Linked DNA regions of Lytechinus pictus. The protein of the gene in region 2 binds, or shares a complex with, the protein of the main gene of each other region. Links are inferred from orthologs where the notes say so. Each region holds a gene or a part of one and is shown on either strand. Other genes may lie near its edges.

What was found.
Region 1: the proteins of T-complex protein 1 subunit epsilon-like (region 2) and DDB1- and CUL4-associated factor 12-like are in contact, whole or in part, in a cryo-EM structure (PDB 8AJM), measured with the Homo sapiens proteins. The link is inferred for Lytechinus pictus from reciprocal best matches to the Homo sapiens genes CCT5 and DCAF12. Residues at the interface, in NP_036205.1 of Homo sapiens: Gly537, Glu538, Ser539, Glu540, Glu541; in NP_056212.1 of Homo sapiens: Lys91, Phe93, Lys108, His144, Trp186, Phe188, Arg203, Lys254, Arg256, Glu298, Val300, Arg344, Phe411, Tyr422, Leu440, Pro441, Ser442, Gly443.

The regions. Positions count from the first base shown.
Region 1 is NC_087249.1:18,253,656-18,265,038, reverse strand, and holds the start of DDB1- and CUL4-associated factor 12-like, read right to left. Parts: upstream 4,178-11,383; 5' UTR 4,031-4,177; coding exon 3,731-4,030; intron 2,414-3,730; coding exon 2,198-2,413; intron 621-2,197; coding exon 560-620; intron 1-559. UniProt on the Homo sapiens protein: Substrate-recognition component of a DCX (DDB1-CUL4-X-box) E3 ubiquitin-protein ligase complex of the DesCEND (destruction via C-end degrons) pathway, which recognizes a C-degron located at the extreme C terminus of target proteins, leading to their ubiquitination and degradation.
Region 2 is NC_087247.1:6,977,488-6,988,461, forward strand, and holds the start of T-complex protein 1 subunit epsilon-like, read right to left. Parts: upstream 4,248-10,974; 5' UTR 3,918-4,247; coding exon 3,813-3,917; intron 1,877-3,812; coding exon 1,816-1,876; intron 281-1,815; coding exon 116-280; intron 1-115. Other genes in the region: sperm microtubule inner protein 11-like, read left to right, coding at 4,447-4,711, 6,187-6,325, 6,926-6,974. UniProt on the Homo sapiens protein: Component of the chaperonin-containing T-complex (TRiC), a molecular chaperone complex that assists the folding of actin, tubulin and other proteins upon ATP hydrolysis.

The DNA.
Region 1 (11,383 bases), on a different chromosome or scaffold from region 2:
TTAAAGCTACTTATATCATTTAATTTCTTTGGCTGATAGGAAACCTGTTATAGATGCTGTGCATTTATTATTATAACAAGTCTTTATGAAAAAGGACCCAGATCTTCAGTCATTTGTAAAGTAGCGTATAGCTTAGAAACAGCTTTATGGAACACTCGGCAGTTTATATGTACTGTACATGTAAATACCTTTCATTCGCAATCAAACATACTCCATAATGATAATAAAAAAAAATTTACATTCGCATAAGACCATTCATCTGTATAAGACCTACGATACAGGGACAGCTATTTTCATATTACCTGTAAACCAAAACATAATTTTTTTTTGTTCTTTACTTTGCATGAGCAAATTTACTCAATTTACCTTTTCAAAACAGAATTTCTGTTTTTACGGTGCACATTTACAATACTATGTCAAAAAGGAAGTTTTATTTTAGATCAAGTTTGAAACAGAATTACAGCTTTCCAGGAACGGGAAAAGACACTTTTGTAATTGGAAAATCACTTTCTCTACAAATGCTTCAAAGAAGATTCACAAAGATGCCCCATGCACTTACCTGCAACTAAGTATTGGTCATCTAACCATACAACTGAGAACATCCAGTCCTTGTGGCAATTCTGAAGAAGAAAAAAAGGTAGAATAAATTACTACCAATTAACATTTGGGGTAGTAACAACATGCACACTTGCACAGGGAATAATGTCACTTCTCAAATTTGATTTAACATTTCTGATTGTTAGATACAAATTTGCAACTACAGGTATGCTCTGTACAATCCTATGTAAAAATTTAAAACTTTGTAGTGTTGCAGTAAAAAATAGAAATAAATAAATAAAATGGGGAGCCAATTGCGATGTGATAACAGGAAATTTATTCCTCGATGCAGATGTTTTGGTTGATATCTTGATATGGTTCAAAACTTCAAATCAGCCCGGACTCCCCCTGAGTTTGTTGAAAGAAAGGCTTATGAAGGCTGAACTTGCAACATCAATACCACTGCAAATGCACAATCTACATGAACAACAATTGCAGCATACTGTAGTCAATCTACATGTACATGTATGTATGGTCTCCACATCAAGATTATACAGAACTGACTTCTGAACGCCTGGTATCTCATTGACTTGGACAAAAAAATGATGCTGATTTTGTCGCAGCATATCTGAATGAACAGCTATTGAACAAAGGTGCACTGATGCGCCAAAAATATTTAAAACAAGTGGAATGCCTCTGGCCGTCTCACCTGCATCATGCGATTCAATATAGCAGCAGAGCTGACTTTGAAAACTACTATCAAATAATTATTCACAAAAAACACCATTCATATAATGAAACAATACTACGTTCATTGACATTTGACCTTGATCATGTGACCTAAAACTTGTCAGTGAAACTTGATTACCCCTATATCCACATTTTATTTGAAAGTAATGACAGCAATCTAATAATTACCTCTAAAATGGCCAAAGTTCAATGACCTTACATGACCTTTGACCTTGATCATGTGACACGAAACTTGCACAGGATGTTCAGTGATACTTGATTACTCTTATGTCCAAGTTTCATGAATCAGATCCATAACCTTTCAAAGTTATGATGGTAATTCAACAGATACCCCCATTATGGCCAAAGTTCATTGACCTTTGACCTTGGTCATGTGACCTGAAATGCGCACAGGATGTTCAATGATACTTGATTACTCTTATGTCTAAGTTTTATGAACTAGACCAATAAACTTTCAAAGTAATGATGGTAATTCAACAAATACCCCCAACTTGGCCAAAGTTCATTGACCTTAAATGACCTTTGACCTTAATCATGTGACCTGAAACTTGCACAGGATGTTCAGCGATACTTGATTACTCTTATGTTCAAGTTTCATGAATCAGATTCATAAACATTCAAAGTTATGATGGTAATTCAACAGATACCCCCAATTTGGCCAAAGTTCATTGACCCTAAATGACCTTTGACCTTGGTTATGTGACCTGAAACTCAGGCAGGATGTTCAGTAATACTTGATTAACCTTTTGGCCAAGTTTCATGAACTAGGTCCATATACTTTCTAAGTTATGCTGTCATTTCAAAAACTTAACCTTGGGTTAAGATTTGGTGTTGACGCCGCCTCCGCCGTCGGAAAAGCGTCTCACTCTGCTATGCAGGTGAGACAAAAACTGTAAAATTTGTGACTTACCTGCCCTACGCAGACGGGATCAAACGTGGGTAACTGGTATACACCAATGTTGTTTGGGTTGTCTGCCCCTGTCGCTAGGAGGGTACCGCTGGGGTTGATGGATATGCTGTGGATACCACTGTTGTTCATTGGTAATGTCTCTGGCTTTTTGCTTGGGAGACTACGGAGCATCGGGATGGATACTTGGTGGTTGAGGTTCAAGTCTAACGCCATCAACTAGCAAAGGAAAAAGTTTTTACAAGACGCATGTACATGTTGCACCCTTATTGTGACCTCATTCATTTGCATCACTAATTTGCATTAAATCCTGAGAGATTGATCGAGCAGTGTATAACCAGTGCATTTAAATCTGTTTCTCTTTCATAGTGAGTAAAACCTTGTAAAGAACTACTGATTAATTCTTATTCTTCTCTAGACTTGGGATAGATCACTCAGTTTAATATTTCTTTAGTTTTTCAATCATCACTCGCAGCCTGTCTCATCTTGCAATGTAAATGTGTTTTGGGGAAAAAGTGGTATACCTAAAAGCCTCTCATGATAATAGGAGTGGGCTATACGGGGTAATTTCAATATGACAACAGTTTTTTTTCATTCCTTGTAATGTATCTCAACATGAAATGACAATATTTTTTGTCTCGGGTCCGAGAAAAAGTGTGCCGGGCCAAAATCCAAAATGGCCGCCAAAACCCCCCAAAATCACAGTTTTGGCCACAACATTTTTATTTGGTGGTCAATTTCTCTGGTTTTGGTGTCTATTCATATGTTTTAGGGGGCAGGCAATTTGTTTTTCCTATAATTAGTACTTTTAAACCATTATTTGTAGAGTTAAAAGGTAATTATACCTAAATTTACCCATTTTTGTAGCCTTTTTTCAGCCAAAAAGTAGGTTTTATCATCCTGGGGTTCTGGGATATTAGATGGTACGAGGTCAACAATAGCAAGCAGCTTCATATAGCTACCAAAGTTTTGATAAATTGTAATGTTTTCTATTGTCTTAGGGCCACAAAATTTGCTTTGCAGGCTACCAAAAATATGAAATTGGTCGGGCCACCGAGAAAAAAAGTAAGTGTGGAGCCTTATTTTATTAAGGCAGATTTCTTTCATAAATTATGCTTAATTCCCCCCGTATAATAAACAATGTCCCATGCTGATGCACACTTTTGTCACTGTTTACTAAATTGATGCCTGTTCCAGTCACTGAGCATGATATTTTATTCATGAGTCTACTGTTTTGAAGAGTGGACTCATTAATTCAAAACAGTTGACTCATGAATGAAATAGCGTGGAAAACCAGGCAACAGGCATCAATTTGGCGCAATATGATAAGTGAGCATCGGCATTGGACATTCTTCAATATATGCAGAAAATTTATATTTGAGTTCTTAAGCTCCTGTGCTAGTGAATTCCACAGGGCTGGTCTGGCATGAGCAAAGGCTTGATAACCCCAGGATTTTTTAGATAGTGGAATATGTAAAAGACCTGATTGGGATGATCACATTGTGCGTACAGGGAATACAGAGGGATGTCACTCACTCTATTGCACTTGGTTCCAATGACTACTTGATGATCTGAAATCCATTCCGAAGCAAAGATCTTATTGATTTCGCCAACTGGAATCTCCCGCTCCGAGAGCACGTGGGGAAGTCTGCGGGTGGTCAGGTTACAGATAACCTTCCTCCGGTGCTTCGCATGTCCGATTGTTCTGCTTCGAATATGGTGGAAGACAGAGGCACTCTCAGGGTCGCCTGCGCCCATCCATTCTCCGCGGTGTCTTTCGGTCAGGGCTGCTGCGGCAGATTTCCTACTCGAGGCTGCATCCTCATTTGACTGCATTCTATAGAGTTCCTTTTTACTCTCTTGTCTCTTCCAATTAGTTCAAGCCTTCAATATCACTCTTACTGATCAGGATGACAAGGACCTTTATTCATGATTTTTCGTTGATCACAACTGCCTTATTATATCATCAAGTTTTGCAGTACCTACAAGTAGAAAGAAAAGACCAACAGGAAGTCAAAGGGAAGATCAAGCAAGCTTCCTTTTGGTGAATCTCAAATATGTGGAAACAACTAATATAATGTATTAATGTAAGCAGACTTAATTTTTGATAAAGGACTTTCCAAGTATCAATTGCCACTGCTACGAAGACAACACGCAATTGTATTTAATCCTTTTCTCCAAATGTGCCACAAAATGGTGCTCATAAGAAGAATAAGTGGCATAAATATGGATGCTCCAAAAATATTTAATGCTGAATGACAAGAAAACTGAATAATTGTTGGTCATTGGTATACCATGTCAGGTTTTGAAATTTGGGGGCCACAGTTCATTGTTGGTGACTCGGTCAGAACTCCATCCGATATTGCCAGAAAACTTGGTGCATTCTTCGAGTACTCAATTAAAAAAAGAATCAAGAATATTTAAAGATCTGCTTATTTCATGACCTATAATTTGAGACATTTGTATTTTGTTACCAGGACCAAGGCTCGACATTAGCAGTGGCCCAGGGCCACCAAAAATTTACCTCAGGCAACCATAATTGATAAATGCTAAGTTTTGGTGGCCCGAATCGGGCAACCAATAATCTTTAAAGTAGCGCAATTTTTCACGCATTTATCAACTTTCTACAGTTCAATTTGCAAGCCAGTTCGTCATGCGACTTTTTCTAAGATTTACACACAAATACACACACTTTGGGGGCATACTTTAGGTTTTGGAATTCAAAGAGGAAGAAAGGAACTGTTAATTTGTATCAAGTTACCATTATGAGTGTATGTCTAATTGTCTATACATGTATGTAGATCAAAGAAAAAAGTCCTCACAACCTGGGAATAATACAATTCATTTATTACCTTTAAATCATTTCATATTTACAATGAAAGAACTTTACCACAAATCAATTTGCAAAATATAATAACAGTAGCAAGGTTTAAAAACAAGATGTACAAAGTGAAAGTAACTTGGTGGTCGTGCTGGATGCAGAATTAATATTTTAGAAATGTCTTTTATTCATTTTTAATGTTTTTTTTTTTCGGGCCACCAAACTGTCATATCAGGCCACCAAAAAATATTATATGAAGGTTTTGGTGGCCCGAACGGGCCACCACCAAAAAAAGTTAATGTGGAGCCTTGCCAGGACAGCATGAAAAATATTGTTCATGCTTGTTTTTACCAATAAAATGGATTATCATACTGTAATAGCGTTCTTTACGGATTACCCGATTCTCAAATGTTTGTTTTCTTTTAATATATGTTCATAATTTAATGTTTCTATGGTGCACTCACTAAAGCTAAGCTTTCTCTTTTGTTTTCCGCCAAGATACAAGACGCAAATAATTGATATGCGTCTTGTAGCTTGGCGAAAACAAAAGAGAACAAGATGGTGACGTAAACATTGCGGCAATTTTTCCCCGTCTTTTCATATTTTTCTCATTTGTTTGGCATAATCCTGGTTTAAGTCACCAGTCCATTCACTGCCGTTTATTTCGTCAGCGCTGGTGACTTCTTTCAACTCCCATTGACTTTGTATGGTGGTGTGACCTTAATTCGCGCGTTACCTAAATTTGCACGGTCGAATATCTCAATATCAGCGAAAAAAATACACGGAGGGGGGGGGGGGGGGGGGGCGGGCGAATTCGCCCCGGAAATGCCTAAAGTCGCCCTCGAAATCACCCAAAATCATGCTTTCGGGGCCAAATAAAATCTTAATGTCACCCCGAAATTATTGCCGAGCGATAACAACTCAGCGGCCCACGAGCGCCATATGCTCGAGCTCCGCTTACCATTTAAAAATAATCAAAAAACCATACTCAAAATCATGAACAAGCCTTGAAAGTAACGAGGAGCACAGTTTCAAATTCCAAAGTTGCGTCTTTTTTTCTGTACCACGTTTTTCCATACACATGGTATGAAAAAAAAAATAAACGTAACGGTCGGGAAACGGTTGCATGTATAGGGGTCCATTATGACTGCCACCATGTGCAATTTCTAATGCACATTTTCCCCTACATATATCACAATTCTGTGATAAAATAATTCGAATTACACAGGAAATAAATCCCAGAGTCTACTAACCTCGCATTGACGAGTTGTCATTCGGCTTTGCTTTTCAAAACGGCCTATTAACATCCAAAATAACTTACCTTATTTGATTATTACTTAAAAATCATTTGTTTTATTTTTCTAGGGATGAGGTAAATATCAGACAATAAATCATCAAACAAAGCTCCATCTATTTTACAAGGCCGGCGGGAGGCTCATGCACGCCGGCATTGGCGCGTGTACTAGCTAGCCAGTCTGAGCTCTGTCTCTCTGCCTGAGCTCTGGGGGACAATTCGCTCAGTAAAGGCCTCAATGATGGTGAATCTCTGTTTCAGACAGAGTTTACATTTCGGGTATATTATTAAAAACTGCCAATAAAGTTTGATGATTTCGTCATTGTCATGTATATTTAAGTTATTAATGAGTTCATTCTCACCAAATTTAGACTCCCCCATAGAGAAATGCAATTTTCGTGGAGATCTGCGTTTTCAAAGAACTTCAGGAAAAGTTAGGGTATGTGGGACTTTATAACATGGCCAAGTACAGGTTATTGTACTGGAATAGATGGAGTAGAAATTAGATATTGAATTCATTTATATCCAAGTTCAACTCACAGTTGACTTAAAAAATCATACAATATTAAATAAGTAATAATTCATTAATAATAGGAGTGGGCTATAAATGGGTGATTTTTGGTTTTACTGTGGGAACAGTTTTTTTGTGTTCCTTTTACCTTATCTCAACATGAAATGACAATATTTTTTGTCTCGGGTCCGAGAAAAAAGTGTGCCGGGCCAAAATCCAAAATGGCCGCCAAAACCCCCCAAAATCACAGTTTTGGCCACAACTTTTTTATTTGGTGGTCAATTTCTCTGGTTTTGGTGTCTATTCATATGTTTTGGGGGCAGGCAATTTGTTTTTCCTATAATTAGTACTTTTAAACCATTATTTGTAGAGTTAAAAGGTAATTATACCTAAATTTTCCCATTTTTGTAGCCTTTTTTTCAGCCAAAAAGTAGGTTTTATCATCCTGGGGTTATGGTATATTAGATGGTACGAGGTCAACAATAGCAAGCAGCTTCATATAGCTATATATTGCTTTTATTCCTCCACTTTGGGTTTTACGGATATTTGTGAAATATATCTTATCAAATAAAAGAAAATGTCATTTATCCATAGGGGCTATACGGTGTACATGTACAATGCACTGTACATACTACACTGCATATATCCATGCATTGACCACCATGGCATATGTCAAGGCCTGTATATAAACTATAGTGTCATAGAAATGAGCTTCAAAGGTTTAGAATTAGATTGTGAATTTGATTCCTTGTCAGCTGATGTACATGGTGAAACCAGCAACGTAAATTACACTTACATGTAAATATCACATACATGTATATATATATACGTACATGTACATCACATTTTTAGCCATATCTTCTTCATTTGGAGGCTTTTTTTTAAACCTGGTTCTGGTGTCTAACTGGCCTATGTTTATGGGGTCAGGTAACTACTAGTATCATGGTAACGCTGATCAACAGCCAATCAGAATCAAGGATTGCATGCAAGTTACCATTAAGTTAAGTTAACATAATGGTAAATTTTTATGCAACGGGGCCCAGAATAGCAATGTTCAGTGTAAATTACCTCTCTCCGCCCCCGGCCCTGAATTAGCATATTTGACAAAACATGTCCTCAATTTCTGACACAAAACATATCTTCAATTTCTGAGGCATCTCATTCTAAACCTGAGAGCTCATTTCTATGACACTATAGTTTATACAAGCCTTGTTATCTGTCATGGTGGCCAATGCATTTATGCAGTGCAGTATGTATGTACAGTAGATTGTATACTGTACAGCCCCAATGGATAATTGACATTTTTTTATTTAATAAGATATATTTCACAAATATCCGTAAAACCCAAAGTGGAGGAATAAAAGCAATATAGCAATATGAAGCTGCTTGCTATTGTTGACCTCATACCATCTAATATCCCAGAACCCCAGGATGATAAAACCTACTTTTTGGCTGAAAAAAGGTTACAAAAATGGGAAAATTTAGGTAAAATTACCTTTTAACTCTACAAATAATGGTTTAAAAGTACTAATTCTAGGAAAAACAAATTGCCTGCCCCCAAAAACATATGAATAGACACCAAAACCAGAGAAATTGACCACCAAATAAAATAGTTGTGGCCAAAACTGTGATTTTGGGGGGTTTTGGCGGCCATTTTGGATTTTGGCCCGGCACACTTTTTTCTCGGACCCGAGACAAAAAATATTGTCATTTCATGTTGAGATACATTACAAGGAATAAAAAAAAACTGTTGTCATATTGAAATTACAAAAAAAGTATTTTTGACCCATGTATAGCCCACTCCTATTAATAAGTGAACAGGTATTCCTCAAAATACAAAAAAGTAGCATTTGAAAAGAGCGCCCGAAAGGTAGAAATGGAGCCCCCGAAATTTTACAAAAATTGAAAATGGAGCCCCCGAAAAAAAAACAATTATTTTTTCCTGCTCGATGCTCAATATATAATGAAAACCTTGAAAAACTGATATCACTAACAGAAAAAGCGACCAAAAATTACCTAGTATGAAGGTAGGTTCTCAGTTTGTGAAAATATTGGCAGAACATTGGCAAACTTTGTTACCTTTTACGTCTGCTCCGAGAAAATCCGAACTTCTCCATAAGCATCAAGAAATCGGCAGTTTGCAAGCAGAGGTCTCCAAAGAAGTAAGATGTGATACCAACCGAATTTATGGCATTTCAACTTCCATACAATTATCTTATGATGGTGGTCCCCAAGTCTGCGCACCTAACAATTTGAGTTAAGATTTAACATGAATTTCTTTTTATTTGTGTACCAAAGTGTACCAAATATCTCATACAAATTTGAAAGAAATATAGCATTTTCTTGGAAAAAACCTCGGGCACTCGTTTTCAGATTGAAAAAAAAAATGGTACCCCATGTCTGCGCACCCATTCACTTTGCACACGATTCGGGGATTTTGATTAAAAAAGGCTGCATTTTGAGGCCGTCACATGGAATGCCCCAAATTAATTATTTTCCACCATTTTGATTCGGATTTTTAAATGAATGTCTGTCTATGTATTGCATGTGTAAAGTTTGTGCTTGTTGCATATCTTCTTTTACTAGAATCACGCAGATACGCGTGTGCGCAGACAAGGGGGACTGCGCAGATTGGTGGGAACTTGCCATACCTTTTTCTGTTCGATTTCTTTTCTAAATCTTTGCAAAACCATCGTGCGCAAATTAAGGTTACACTTTTTCATATTTTTTCAGCCTAACGAGGAATAGTCGATTGTCATGGAATTTTGAGATTGCGATACCAGCGAAACCCTTGACCTACTTTGAAATTCCCTCAAGCGAATTTGACTTTGGGATCTTGCCTTCCATCTGGTATTTATGATTTTTTTGATTAATTTTGTGTGAACTGTGAGAATTTCTTGATTGAAAATCAACTTCATGATGATTTTTAAAATGTGCGCAAATTATGGTCACCCCAGCCCCAGGCATCAATCATACACGAGTGCACACACATATAGATTAGAGAGGTGACTTACAGTAGAGGCGCACGGCCAATATTGGAGACTGTCTCCAATGTGGGAGATTATCTCCAATATCAGAGACTTTTGTAAAGAATTTGGGTATCCAATTTCAGAGACAGTCTCCAGTTTTGGAGACCAATTTCCTTTGTTTACATTTGCTGCAAAAGGATTACCTTGGCGGCAAATAAAAATGTGATAAGCAGATTCCTCATGAAAAATTACCCCTTTTCACCATCTACTTTAAAAATTCACCGCCTACTTTTGTTTTGATAAGGATTTTTGTTGTCAATCACACACAAAACAAATGGGCTTCTGACCTGTGAGACAAAATTTTGGGTGGAAAAAATCATGCTTTTGTTGGTGTTGTTTCTTTTGTCCTTTTGCAAAGCAAGTCTTTAATGTGGGAGATTGTCTACCCTATTGGAGAGTCTCCCATATTGGCCGTGCGCCTCTACTGACTCACCCATGGGTTCATATCATCTCGCGTGCGAAGGAATATCAGTCATATGCACGCGACACACATGACAAGTCAAAAAGATAGTGAGCTTTTGCCCACATAAAATATCACCAATAATCTGGTATTTCACATTCTGCTATGACACTTACCGAATCATTTAGATCCTTCCGTGACTTCTCCTTGAAGTTTTTCTTAAAAATATGTATATTTTCTTGATCTTTAGTGAAGATTTCACGGAGATAAAATTTGGTCAGCGTAGATATCAATTTTCGTCTAAAGAGGGCGCGCGATTTATATTCATATCAAAGACACGACAAGGGAAAGATTAGGAACCTACACTATTTTACACGCAAATCGACGCAAGGCATTACGCGAAGTCCGTGAAGTGTCCAATCTTTTCATTGTATAGACTTTGGTATACCGTGACGTTTGTTAATACTGCTTGTACTGCTGGTTTTGTTCCAGGCATGTGTATTTAGAAAAAAAAAAAATTATATTAGTCATCGTTTTAAATTAATTGCAACAAAAGTGTTATCATCGCCAATAGTAATCCTGAATTATGTTTTTGAAGGTATTTTATTTATTGGTGCCCATAATTGGTAAATTAATCATAAGAATTGCGCATTCAAAGAATTTAGACACAGTTATAAAATTACCGAGGAGCTGAATCAAGGTTGTGAAATTTATTAGCGCCACCAACGGGCTTCCTTGTATTTCCGTAGAAGAGACAAACGAAGTCACTTGCTAGGCCGAGGTAAGCGAAATTTGCTCTTTTTAAATGAAATTAGTTAAATATCATATATGTATAATTTTGTTATGTATTGCTACTTACCGGAAAGAGCCCCGGTGCGTAGCGAGAAGGAGTTTCGGCAAATATTACTTCAGCAATGAAGCAATGTTTGCCGACTACTTCGAAATCTACGGTCAAACACGGTCCGGTGTACGAGGTTCGTATATATATACGAACCTCGTATTAGTGTGAGTGCTACTGTCCTGACTTAGCTTATTTCACGATCATAAGGCCATTTTTCAAATGAACTCTTGTTTAAAAATGAAATCAATATTGTAGAAATGTCGGAAATGAAGTATAGATCTAGGTCTATCCCA
Region 2 (10,974 bases):
TAGTGGTCAGGAAATTTAGCTCACTAAAGAGTGTTTCAACAACCCTTGGTTTTGCACAGTCTGCAAAACTAACCACCTTGAGCTTCATAAAAATATACTGAATGACGGTACTTACCGACGACACCTGTGGTACCGTCACCAATCTCATCATCTTGTGACTTTGCGAGTTGAACCATGAGCTTGGCTATTTGATGGTCTACATCCATCTTGTCCAAAATGGTGGCACCATCATTAGTAACTGTTACGTCACCATCGGGGCTGACAAGCATTTTATCCAAGCCTGCGTGCAAGTAGACAAAAAAGAAAGCTTGTCAACATGTTTAACACGAGTCTGACAGATTATTTCATCATTTGACATCTGTTTGATCGATTGAGAAAAGGTACATTGGAACATATCCAGCACAAGTGAGCTTTCTTCATGTATTTTTCACCTTGGCTGTAAATCAGAGCCTTGCGGAGTGGCGCTTGGGAGCAGGTATAAAAAAAAAAGAACGTAAAAATAAGGAAAAATTTGTGAGAAAAAATGTATCTCCCAGTAACCTGGAAATAAGGATTTGGTGATCATTTTAATACAAAGAGAAAACAAAAACTCTTTACTTGACACTTAATTGCTAATTGATTTCCTCAAATTTTGTCCAATTTAGCACTCGATAACCCCTATTATGGAGGGTCGATGGTGCATGTTCTCCTTTTTATTTATTCTATGCTGTACAAAGTTAATGTTCCACACAAGTGATTTGAAAACCCTGTTTGTAGGATTTCTCTTTCAACGGCGAGAAATTTTCCATTTCCAGAGTATTCGTTTTGGTTAAGAGTTAAACATCAAATAATATGATATTCAAAGTACATCTGGATCATAAAAGATTATGAATTTGGGACATAACAAGCAGAAACTTTATTTCCGGAGCCGATTAAAATCCGAAGTTGTAAAAGTGAAATACATGTATGGTCAGATGTACTGCCTGCTGTGATTGCCTGCATGCACTCTTGCTTAACACGAGTTGTAGAGAGAGAGATCTATCGAGAGGGGCAGTTTGGGGCGTTAGTGCAGAGCAACGCCTAATTTTCAGCCCTTGCAAAATCGGGGAACGTAACTTCAGCCACTGGCGTACAGATGGGGGTGGGGATTGGGGGCCCCCCAAGTGTTTCACGGCCAAGAAAAAAAAGGAAAATAGGAAAGAAAAGGAAAGGGAAAGAGTGGAACATTGTATTATTTTCTTAATATTATGTCAAAATATAGATTTTTGTATTGAAAAGTTCAATATTTTTGCTTCAGCTGCCATATCTTGCCCCCTCATTTTTTTTTTACTCATTACGCCACTTTCTTCAGCCAATAGGTCTGGTGCAAAACAGTTTGAACTAGTGGTATCATTGGTATGTTGTGAAAAAGTCACTGGTAATTTTTCTTTTAATATTCATATTGTGTAGTTTGTTGGCATTTGTTGGCAATTTAAAAGGCCTCATATTCAAAAACTTCTGGGGGCTCTGCCCCCTCGACCCCCACCAGGGGCCTCTGGACCCCCTCCGCTGATACATTGCTGGTTTGCGTAATGGATAGTGCGGGGGATAGTGGACTAAGTGGAGCATTACAGATTCTTAACAAGAAATGTGGCGCTTCAAAAAAAGTAATTGAGAATGGCTGCTGTAAATACTTCACTTGAGGGTGGATTTTAGAAGTGTCTCAGTGAAAGTGATTTTTTTTCCTAAAAGTTAGTTTGTTTTTTTTACTTTATAGATGTAAGATGTTGTTACTGAAGTAATCACATTTTTATTGCTGGCAAGAACACTAACAAATTCATACATACAAAGACTTACCATTTGGGCCTAATGAAGTTCGTAATGTGTTTGCAACTGTCTTTGCAGCAAGAATATGAGACTGTTGAAAGAAGAGAAAAAAAAAACATGTTGATCTCCATGTCAAAACCTTAAAAAATATCAGCCTTTCAATGATAAATACCAGAAATTTACAGCTAAAAAAAATGCCTTGCTGCATATTATAATTCCCAGAGAACACTCCTTTTTTAAAAATAACATGTGTGACTTGTTTTTAGTGAACAGTACATGATTACGCATCTGCTTTCCATGACAAAGGCCAAGATGGGGCGTTAACATGGAGCATCTTTTTCTTACGTTTTTACTTTTGGTTTAGCACTTTGCAAAGAAAATCCAGTAACCATCTGCTAGTGGAAAATGGTTTTCCAGCTCTTCTTTTCTTGTGAAGTCAGTCATTGCTGAGTGCTCGGAGCGATTGATAGACCTGTAAGTGCAAAAAGCTTTGGAGAGTAACTAGTTATTGTTTGCTAATGCAAGGTTTAATGCAAGGTTACTTACTCTTTAAGTATTTGGCACTTTTTACTTAGTATCAAATGCACAAAGTAAGGAAAAAAATGCAAGTATACAAGGTCTCAGAAAACCACTTCCCACTGGCAGATCAAAAATCAAAATTCCCTGGATTTTTTTCTCTTTTTTCCTCATTTGAGTAATTTTCAGATTCCCCCTTTATTTTACAAATTTCACATTATCTCCTCCTGACCTTGACATACATGTGATGTGAATTATATTTTCCCATGACATATGTTGTGCTCAGGAGGCAAGATGCAATTGAAAAGATGAGGGAAAATCTGAAAATTTGTGTAAAAAACAAATGGAGAGTTGTCCACAAAATCAGCCATTTTGAAGCACTTTTGCCAATTTGAGGATCCCCATAGAAAGTACAATTTTTTTTAACGTCCATCACTTGCTTATTTCATCAGTAGATGCGCACGGCCAATATGGGAGACTCTCCAATATGGGAGACAATCTCCCATATTGCCTATTGGAGACTTCAATTTGCTTTGCAAAAGGACAAAAGAAACTCCAACAAAAGCATCAACAAAAACATATTTTTTCCACCCAAAATTCTGTCTCACTCAGGTCAGAAGCCCATTTGTTACTTTTGTGTGTGGATGACAGTAAAAATCCTTATCAAAACAAAAGTAGACGGTGAATTTTTAAAGTAGACGGTGAAAAGCCAAAGCCAGGGGTAATTTTTCATGAGGAATCTGCTTATTCCTTTTGCAGCAAATGTAAAGGAAATTGGTCTCCCAAACTGGAGACTGTCTTTGAAATTGGATACCCAAATTCTTTACAAAAGTCTCTGATAGTGATATTTTATTGGAGATAATCTCTCAATCTCATGGGAGACAGTCTCCCATATTGGCCGATTTTGATGAAACTTTGTTTAAATTGTTCCTCTCATTTTAGTACTCTTCGCACTAAGATTGCTTCTCTTCTTGGGTTTTGGTTTCCTTTAAACATCGGACATCTTCGCTCAGCTGCCCGCGACTTTGTTCTGAAATTAGTATTAGTATTAAAATCACTTGAACTATATTCATATTAGTAAGCGTCCAACTTCCAACTCCAAGTTTGTACTTTTTTACCATAAATTTTGTAGCACTGCCCCTAACTATAAGTGGCGCAATCTCTCTCTATCATTTCAGTTCCTCCACTGTTTGGAGATCAGCACTGTACTGTCTGTATAGTGTATTGTGGATCCACTGAATTGTCCAACTCGTTATTATTTAATATTAATCAATTTAATTTCAAATTTTCATGCGACATGATGAGTCGTGAGTGACATGACCGACTGCCGTGGCCAGTGCCGTGGCGTTAAATTTTATAAAATTTGGCAGAAATTAAGCTATTATTGCTCTGGGCATAATTTATAAAGCCTCAAGTATTAAAAACAAATCATAAGTATCCTTTCCTAAAGTTTAATTCATCAAATAAAATAGACACGGATGTCAGTGAGTGGGACCGAGTATTAGACCAACCTTCTGTGCTTCGATCCCAGTTAACCTCGACTTTGAATCTTGATCTCTGATGATGATGAAAGGCCGACCATATTCATCGAATGCGAGAGATCCTAGAGAAGACATTTTTATGTGAAAAACGGAAGTTTCGCTTGTGGATTACTAGATGAAAATGGATTTCTCTCACTCGTCTTACGCCCAATTCATGTGCAGATTCTAGAAGACTCCATGAGCAAATCAATGATTAACCTCGTTCACTAAAGTCTTACCCCCCAAAAATTATCAAAATGTAACTCCTATACATGATAGAATCTGACTTCAACAAAATTTAAAAATTTTAAACAGATTTTGTAATAAAAATTATTTTATTACTATAACAAAAATGTTGAAAATATGAAAGTATATTTTCTTATTTGCCAGCCTCGTCCATCAGGGGACGATAACAACAATGCACGTAACCAAGGATATCCCGGAAATAGACGCAATGCACCTGTTCGCTTATTGATGCAAAATCAACGTTTCCTCGATGAAACCCGTCTCTAATTAAAAGTTTTCGCGTTTTAGAGGTTGCTTTTCAAGACTTCCTCTTCAGGAATATTTTTTGTTCTTCACGTGATCTTCAGGATATACCGTCGGTGTTGAACTAGCAGAAATAATGTCATTCTTTAATCTCACCGAATTGGGATACCAATATCCTATACGCGCACAGGTGAAAGAGCCAAACCCGGTATATTCCTACCATCTCGCCCACTCTGTACCGGAGGGATCGTACGTATCATTCAGACCAGAAACTGCAAAACTTCCACCAATTGGTATGACCAAATACAACAAAGTTATTGAACCTGTAGATCATCCAGAACATCATGGATCATATGTCAAATACACCGAGAGATTGCACAAACATACACGATGTGCAAAAGGTAATACACTCCAGCTGGGAGCTTGTTGTAGTGGAGCTTTAATTTTATTCCTCCTTTTCTGCTTAGATTTTTTTTTGCAGTATTTAATGACAATTACCCTAATAGTAATAAAGCTCCAAATCCACTCGGTAGAGTGCCCAAGGCGCTTCAGAAGTAAACAGAATAGCATATTCCTTCATCAATAATTTAAAGAATGCGATCTATAGTCTATACTATATATGCAGTTCTTAGAGTTCGACTATCATAAATATATACTTTTGTTATCATCATCACAATCATTATCCGTTATCATCGACATTATTATTGTTCTTATTATTATTATTATATCATTATTATTATCATAATCATCATTGTTATTATTAACTTCATTATCATCCTTGTATGATCATTATTTTCATACACAGGCATACATGTACCATTTATATTTAATATTATCATAATCTAAAATCTTAATGCATTACTTTGTTGTCTTTTCCATGTAAGCTTGTTACAAACTTTGATTTAAAACAAAGTTCGTAACAAGCTTCTAAACTTCATTCCAAACTACTTTGCGTAATAGTATTATGATTCTTATCATTTTTTTCTTGCAATATAATGTATTGTTGGTGCCTGAAATATCATTCATCCCCTTTAGAATTATAACAGGCTCACATCAAGAGGCTCAGGGCAGGGAGTGTTTCATTTTCAATTCTCTTGCCCAAAATTGTGAATAGTTGTGAGAACCATTTTTCTGCTTGAAATTCTCTGAGACAAATTGCATCTTTATAAGGAGCTGGAACTTCGATAGTAATGGGTCCACTTTCTTTGCCTTCTATTTTATGTTATCCTTGATCCACTACTGATAACACAGATGAATCGACCTAAATTGAATCTCTTGGGATCGTAGAAATCTGTTTGACTGAAGAAAATTTAAATCAGAAAAATGTACATAAACGTAAAAATGACCATCTTATTGTGTTTTTATTTTTGCATTGTCAGGCTCCCCACTTTCGGCTCAGCCCCCCTCCCCCACGGCCAATCCACTTTCAAAACTTGTCTGCTGCCCCTGATGTATTAACATAATTATGATTGCATATTCCAGTCTGAAAAATGCTTTGACTCGGGGGATTATTCAGCTTATGGAACTAGGTCAACTTACAATGTTTGCATATGGAAAATTGTGCTAAGAGAATTAAATTTACTCTCAAATATCCTGACAGGTTCCATTGATTTGGGTTTTTTTTTCTCTCTCTCTATTAGAGGATTTATTCACATTTGATTCAAAGGTTACACAATTAATATTAGTAAATCATGAATATGTAACATTTCACTAGTGTATCCAGCATCGACTTTGCACAAGCATAATAGATTCACTATTGCCCCCAGACAATTGGGCCCATGAAATGCTTTGTAGGATTTGATGCTGGATACCTGCCTGCATTTGTCATAATAATTACAAAATCATTTTTAAGTTACTTAAATTTTCTTTACTACAGGTCCCATTGATATATACCGCAACCCTGTGACAACAGCTCAACTTCCCGGTTCCTGGTATCAGAAAGAGGTCCCACTGAAGCAGAGAGAATCCTGGACGTATGTCCCCAGACATGTATGCGTCAGTAGCGAAATGACAAAGTATGTACTGCCCAGCTCCCACTCTTGCCATTTATCAAATTATAAAAGAGAACTTTTGTTGTCCTTTTGGGTTGTTTGATGATGAAGCAAACAAAAATGAATTTAAAGTTTTGCTCTTTTGGATTGATTTGTAATGTGAATCCACAATAGGCATACATGTATATTGTCTGGTTATTAAGGTTGGTTCTATTTGTGTTTATTTTGTAGTACAATTTGTGATACTTACAGGGGAGAGTGATAAGCTTTTGTTAACAAATATTATAACTTAAGATAAATTATAGCTCATTTTCATATTTAGCAGACTCTACAACAATTTATACAAGAGTATATACAAAAGATAAACAGATGGTTATTGTCCAAACTTCATTCACTAAACCATATATGGATAAATGCTTTAATAATAATGATAATAATATGCAACACTTATATAGCACTTAATACAAATGTTTCTAAGCGCTGCATACTGTTACTTTGGCTTTAGCACGGCTACCCTGATTGGGCTATGTTTCCAGAGATTGGGTTATTTCTTCAAGAACAGATAATCCAAAATACTAATGAATAATATAATTTACATCAACTTTTTTCTGGTGTTTTTTGCAGGTTTGTTAAGGAGATGAGTCAAACCAACAGGGAATTTTCACTCTTCTAATCACAAAATTGGAGCCAGCAAACTTCAAAAAAACTTTCAGTAAAGCCTTACTATGGACAATGTTTCTGACATACTTGGTATGCATAAATAAACCAACAGCCTTTGAACAAGACTGGAGTGAAGACGACTGAAGTGCATTAATGGTTTAATGGACCTGTGTCATTACAGGTCTGTATCTCATGATGAATGGATTTCCATGATGGATTCAAATCAGTTACTTTTTGTATTGAAATAAGCCACTAACCTTTAAGAAATAAACATGAACAAATGAGTCATTTAAATTTGAAGATACAAAAAAATAATGCTCTTGATTTCTCCTTATTTTCTTTTTAATTCATTCATCTATTTTCCCATAAGATACTGATTCTCTAAAGTCATTGAATTACATTCTTGCCTTAAATGGAGCACCTGCTTACTCTACACTTTGAAAAGAGTGTCCAATTAAAAAAAAAGTTAAACCTTTATATTGAGTTCGAGTCTTTGGGAATACAGGTTTGTTTTATATATTTTTCCCAAATTGTTTTAAATTGTTTTTATTGTGATTTAAATCATGCACTTTCACTGCAATGGCCTCAAGACCTTGAAGCCCTGCAGTTCCAGTTATTTGTCCCACTCCTTGAAGAACAAGTATATGATTTATGTTATACATTAAAATTGGCTGAAAGATGTTTGCCCATTTAATTTTATACCTGCATTGGTGTTTCAGTTTGGACACAAGCGTGTACTGTATAATGCATAAATTGAGCACTTATATAATTATGGTTTACTTTGTTACAATTAGAGGAGTATTATTATCATAACCATTAGTGCCATCCACCAAGTATTGATTATCTTCAAACTATACAACGAACATAGAACCAAAGTTGTTTTCCTGTCATTTTGTATTCCCCAAAAAAGTATTTCAAAGATAATTGTGTTTTGTCAGTCTTGTTTTGTCTTTGTTCAAACAAAAATTAGTCATTGGAACTATCATTTTGCATAGGTTTGCACTTTATAATTGATGACGAAAGATTCTCACAATTTCCTGTAAATGGTTTATAAATGCTGATCAGTACGGAAAGATATCTACAGATCAGTATAATAATCGCATCGAAAATTTGAATTCCAAATTCGATGGCCACAACAAAATTGTTTAAGTAAATATAATGCCTTTGTCGCGAGAGGGCTCTGTTCGAAAAATGCATTGAGTGGATTTCGTATCTTCTTGCGCCTCACGGTAAGAGCTGATATGAGCAATAACTTGGATATCATAATTTTGTCGTTCAAGTTATCTGTTCTGTCGTTTTGAAAGCGGTATGTATTTTAAACGAATCATTATTATAATATTTGTAATGGGTTTTTTTTACCTGTACATAGCATCCTGCAAAATTAGATATTATTACATAAAATTGATAGTTGATAAACTATTTTTTTTGTCTTATGAGACCGAAATGGCATCATTTGCCGCGTCTTATTTGTAACGTCGGATGTCTCACATTGATTTATATGTTCGATACGATAATAATTATAACTGCAAGACTTCATTTTATATTTTTTTGCAAAGCCAAATGTAATTCAATCAATCAAACAGTGTTGTACAAGTATGTGTTTGTCGAGGTATGTAGTGTTTTGTAATTATTTACATAAATGATATTGATCCAAAATAACTTCCGTGTGCCACTTGTCATTCTATCATCTTAGATTAAAATGTTAAATAAAAATACTTCAGTTTTACCGATCATGTGCGAGGTGTTTGTGTGCGTGTGGGGTATATGTGAGGCGCCCGTGTGAGGGTGTGTGTGTTTGTGTCATTGGGGTACCGCTGGGGGGAATGAAAGAAAGAGAAAGAAGGGGAAAAGGGGTAAGATTTTTTAATAATTATGTCAGAACCTATCGCAAAAAAATTATCTTGAAAAGGTCGACATTTTTGCTTGCTATCTGGGGACTCTTACCACTCACGTCACCTTAAATTTCTTGGATCATTGGTTTGTGCGCTAATGAGAAATATACATTATGTGGACTAAGTGTTCTTAAACTTTCCTTGGAACAAAGAAGCTCGATGTCAGGGGGCCTGGTAGACCATTATTCTCTTATTCATCAGCTGTTTGTGTGTGTGTGTGTGTGTGTGGGGGGGGGGTTTGGGTGTGCGTGGGGACGACCGGGGGGGGGGGCGACTCGATCTCGTGAAGGAGCTGACATATCATACCCCAATGGGATGGACTATTCATTTTCCGTCCATCCGTCGTGGTCGTACATCTCTTCAAATTAGAATACTAAGTAAGCTGGGAATGTTCGTCATAGATAATACATGCCCCTCCCCCCTCAAAACAGGGGGGGACCAGGAGCAGGTTGGTTCTGTCCCTGCATGGCCGAGTCAAATATAAATGTGGGACATTCTGCATGAATGGGGTATGATGCAGTATAGCATGCAAGCTCCTTGCCAGTACGTAGGTCGAATATAATGAGGGAAACGTGTGAACATAGTAAGGAAAAGGGTGGCGTACCACGGAGATAAGCTTTTAAACTTAAAGGAGAATGAAACTCTTGGAGCAAGTTAGCTTTTGTGAAAGCAGAAAAATCAAAGAATAAGATCAACAAAAGTTTGAGTAAAATAGGACTAGCAATAGAAGAGTTATGAGCATTTGAATGTCGAGATCACTAATGCTATGGCGATCCTCCCATTGGCAATGCGACCAAGATCTATGATGTCACAGATGAACAACTCTCCCCTTTTGGACACTGAAAATATACCCCAAAACATCTCTTTTTGCTCATTCTAATCATATGACAAACGATTCATCAATGATATAATGTTGTGAAACCTCTGTACTTGTCCTCTCATATAAAGAGAACACCTCACCTTGTGATAGACTCTATAAAAGTGAGAATATAAGTGAAATAAGTACTAAAGTAATGAGGGAGTTGTACGTGTGTGACATCACAGGTCTTGATCGCATTGCCAATAGGAAGATCTACATGGCATTAGCGATCTCGACATTCAAATGCTCATAACTTTCTTATTATTCATTCAATCTTCCTCAAACTTTCAACAATATGTTTCTTTGATTTTTCTCTTTGATATGGATTCAGCTGGTTTCAAGGGTTTCATTCTCCTTTAAATCCCGAGTACATGTGATTGAACAGCTAAAAGAGATTCAGATGCAAGAGTCATAACTATCCCGCAAAATAAATTAATAAAGGTGTTCAAAAATTTTCTAGATTAATGAATCAATAATTGACTATATGAATAACAATTATGACTAAACACAATTAATAAATAATCTTTTATACAGATTACACTGTAAAAAAATATTGGGTAAAATTTTTACCACCACGAGGGTAGGAATTATTTGTCCAACCTATTTGGGGCAGTAATTTACCCAATGCGGGAAGCATATTGTCCAATATAAGGTTTAAAAAAAAGCAGCTCAATTACTTTAGAATGGGCAAAATTTTCATCACACTGGATAAATGAAAATACCCAAAAGAAATGCCTAGTGTTGGTTGGACACATAATTACCCTCATGGAACACCTTTACCAAATATTTTTTAGAGTGTATCTATTGATGAATAAAAACGATATCCTTAATTTAGCAGTAAGGGTTTCAAACCTATAAAGCCATTTCACAAGCCTTATACGGATAAATTTCACAATCTTTTTCTGTTAAAGGAAGTAGCGATGTGTCCCTGAATGAACTCGGAAGGAGTCTGTAAAGAATAGTAGTCTGAGCAAACTTTTCCGTCCACGGAAAATTAATGTTCTTTATTTGAAGAAAAAATAATATATATGAATGTCCGATATGTCTCCCTCTTGTGTGCTCACGGTGGAGTTCCCTCGTCATCTGTCTTCCACGCGCCTGGTATCTTCGGTGAGACAAATTATGATGATCGTGATGCTATGATAGCAATCATACTTGATGAATCGTGACTTCGTTGGTGGCATTAATGATGATTATCCTTTGGATGAACAATCCATTATCTTTACCCTATACCATGTTATTCCTCTACAGACTCATACAAA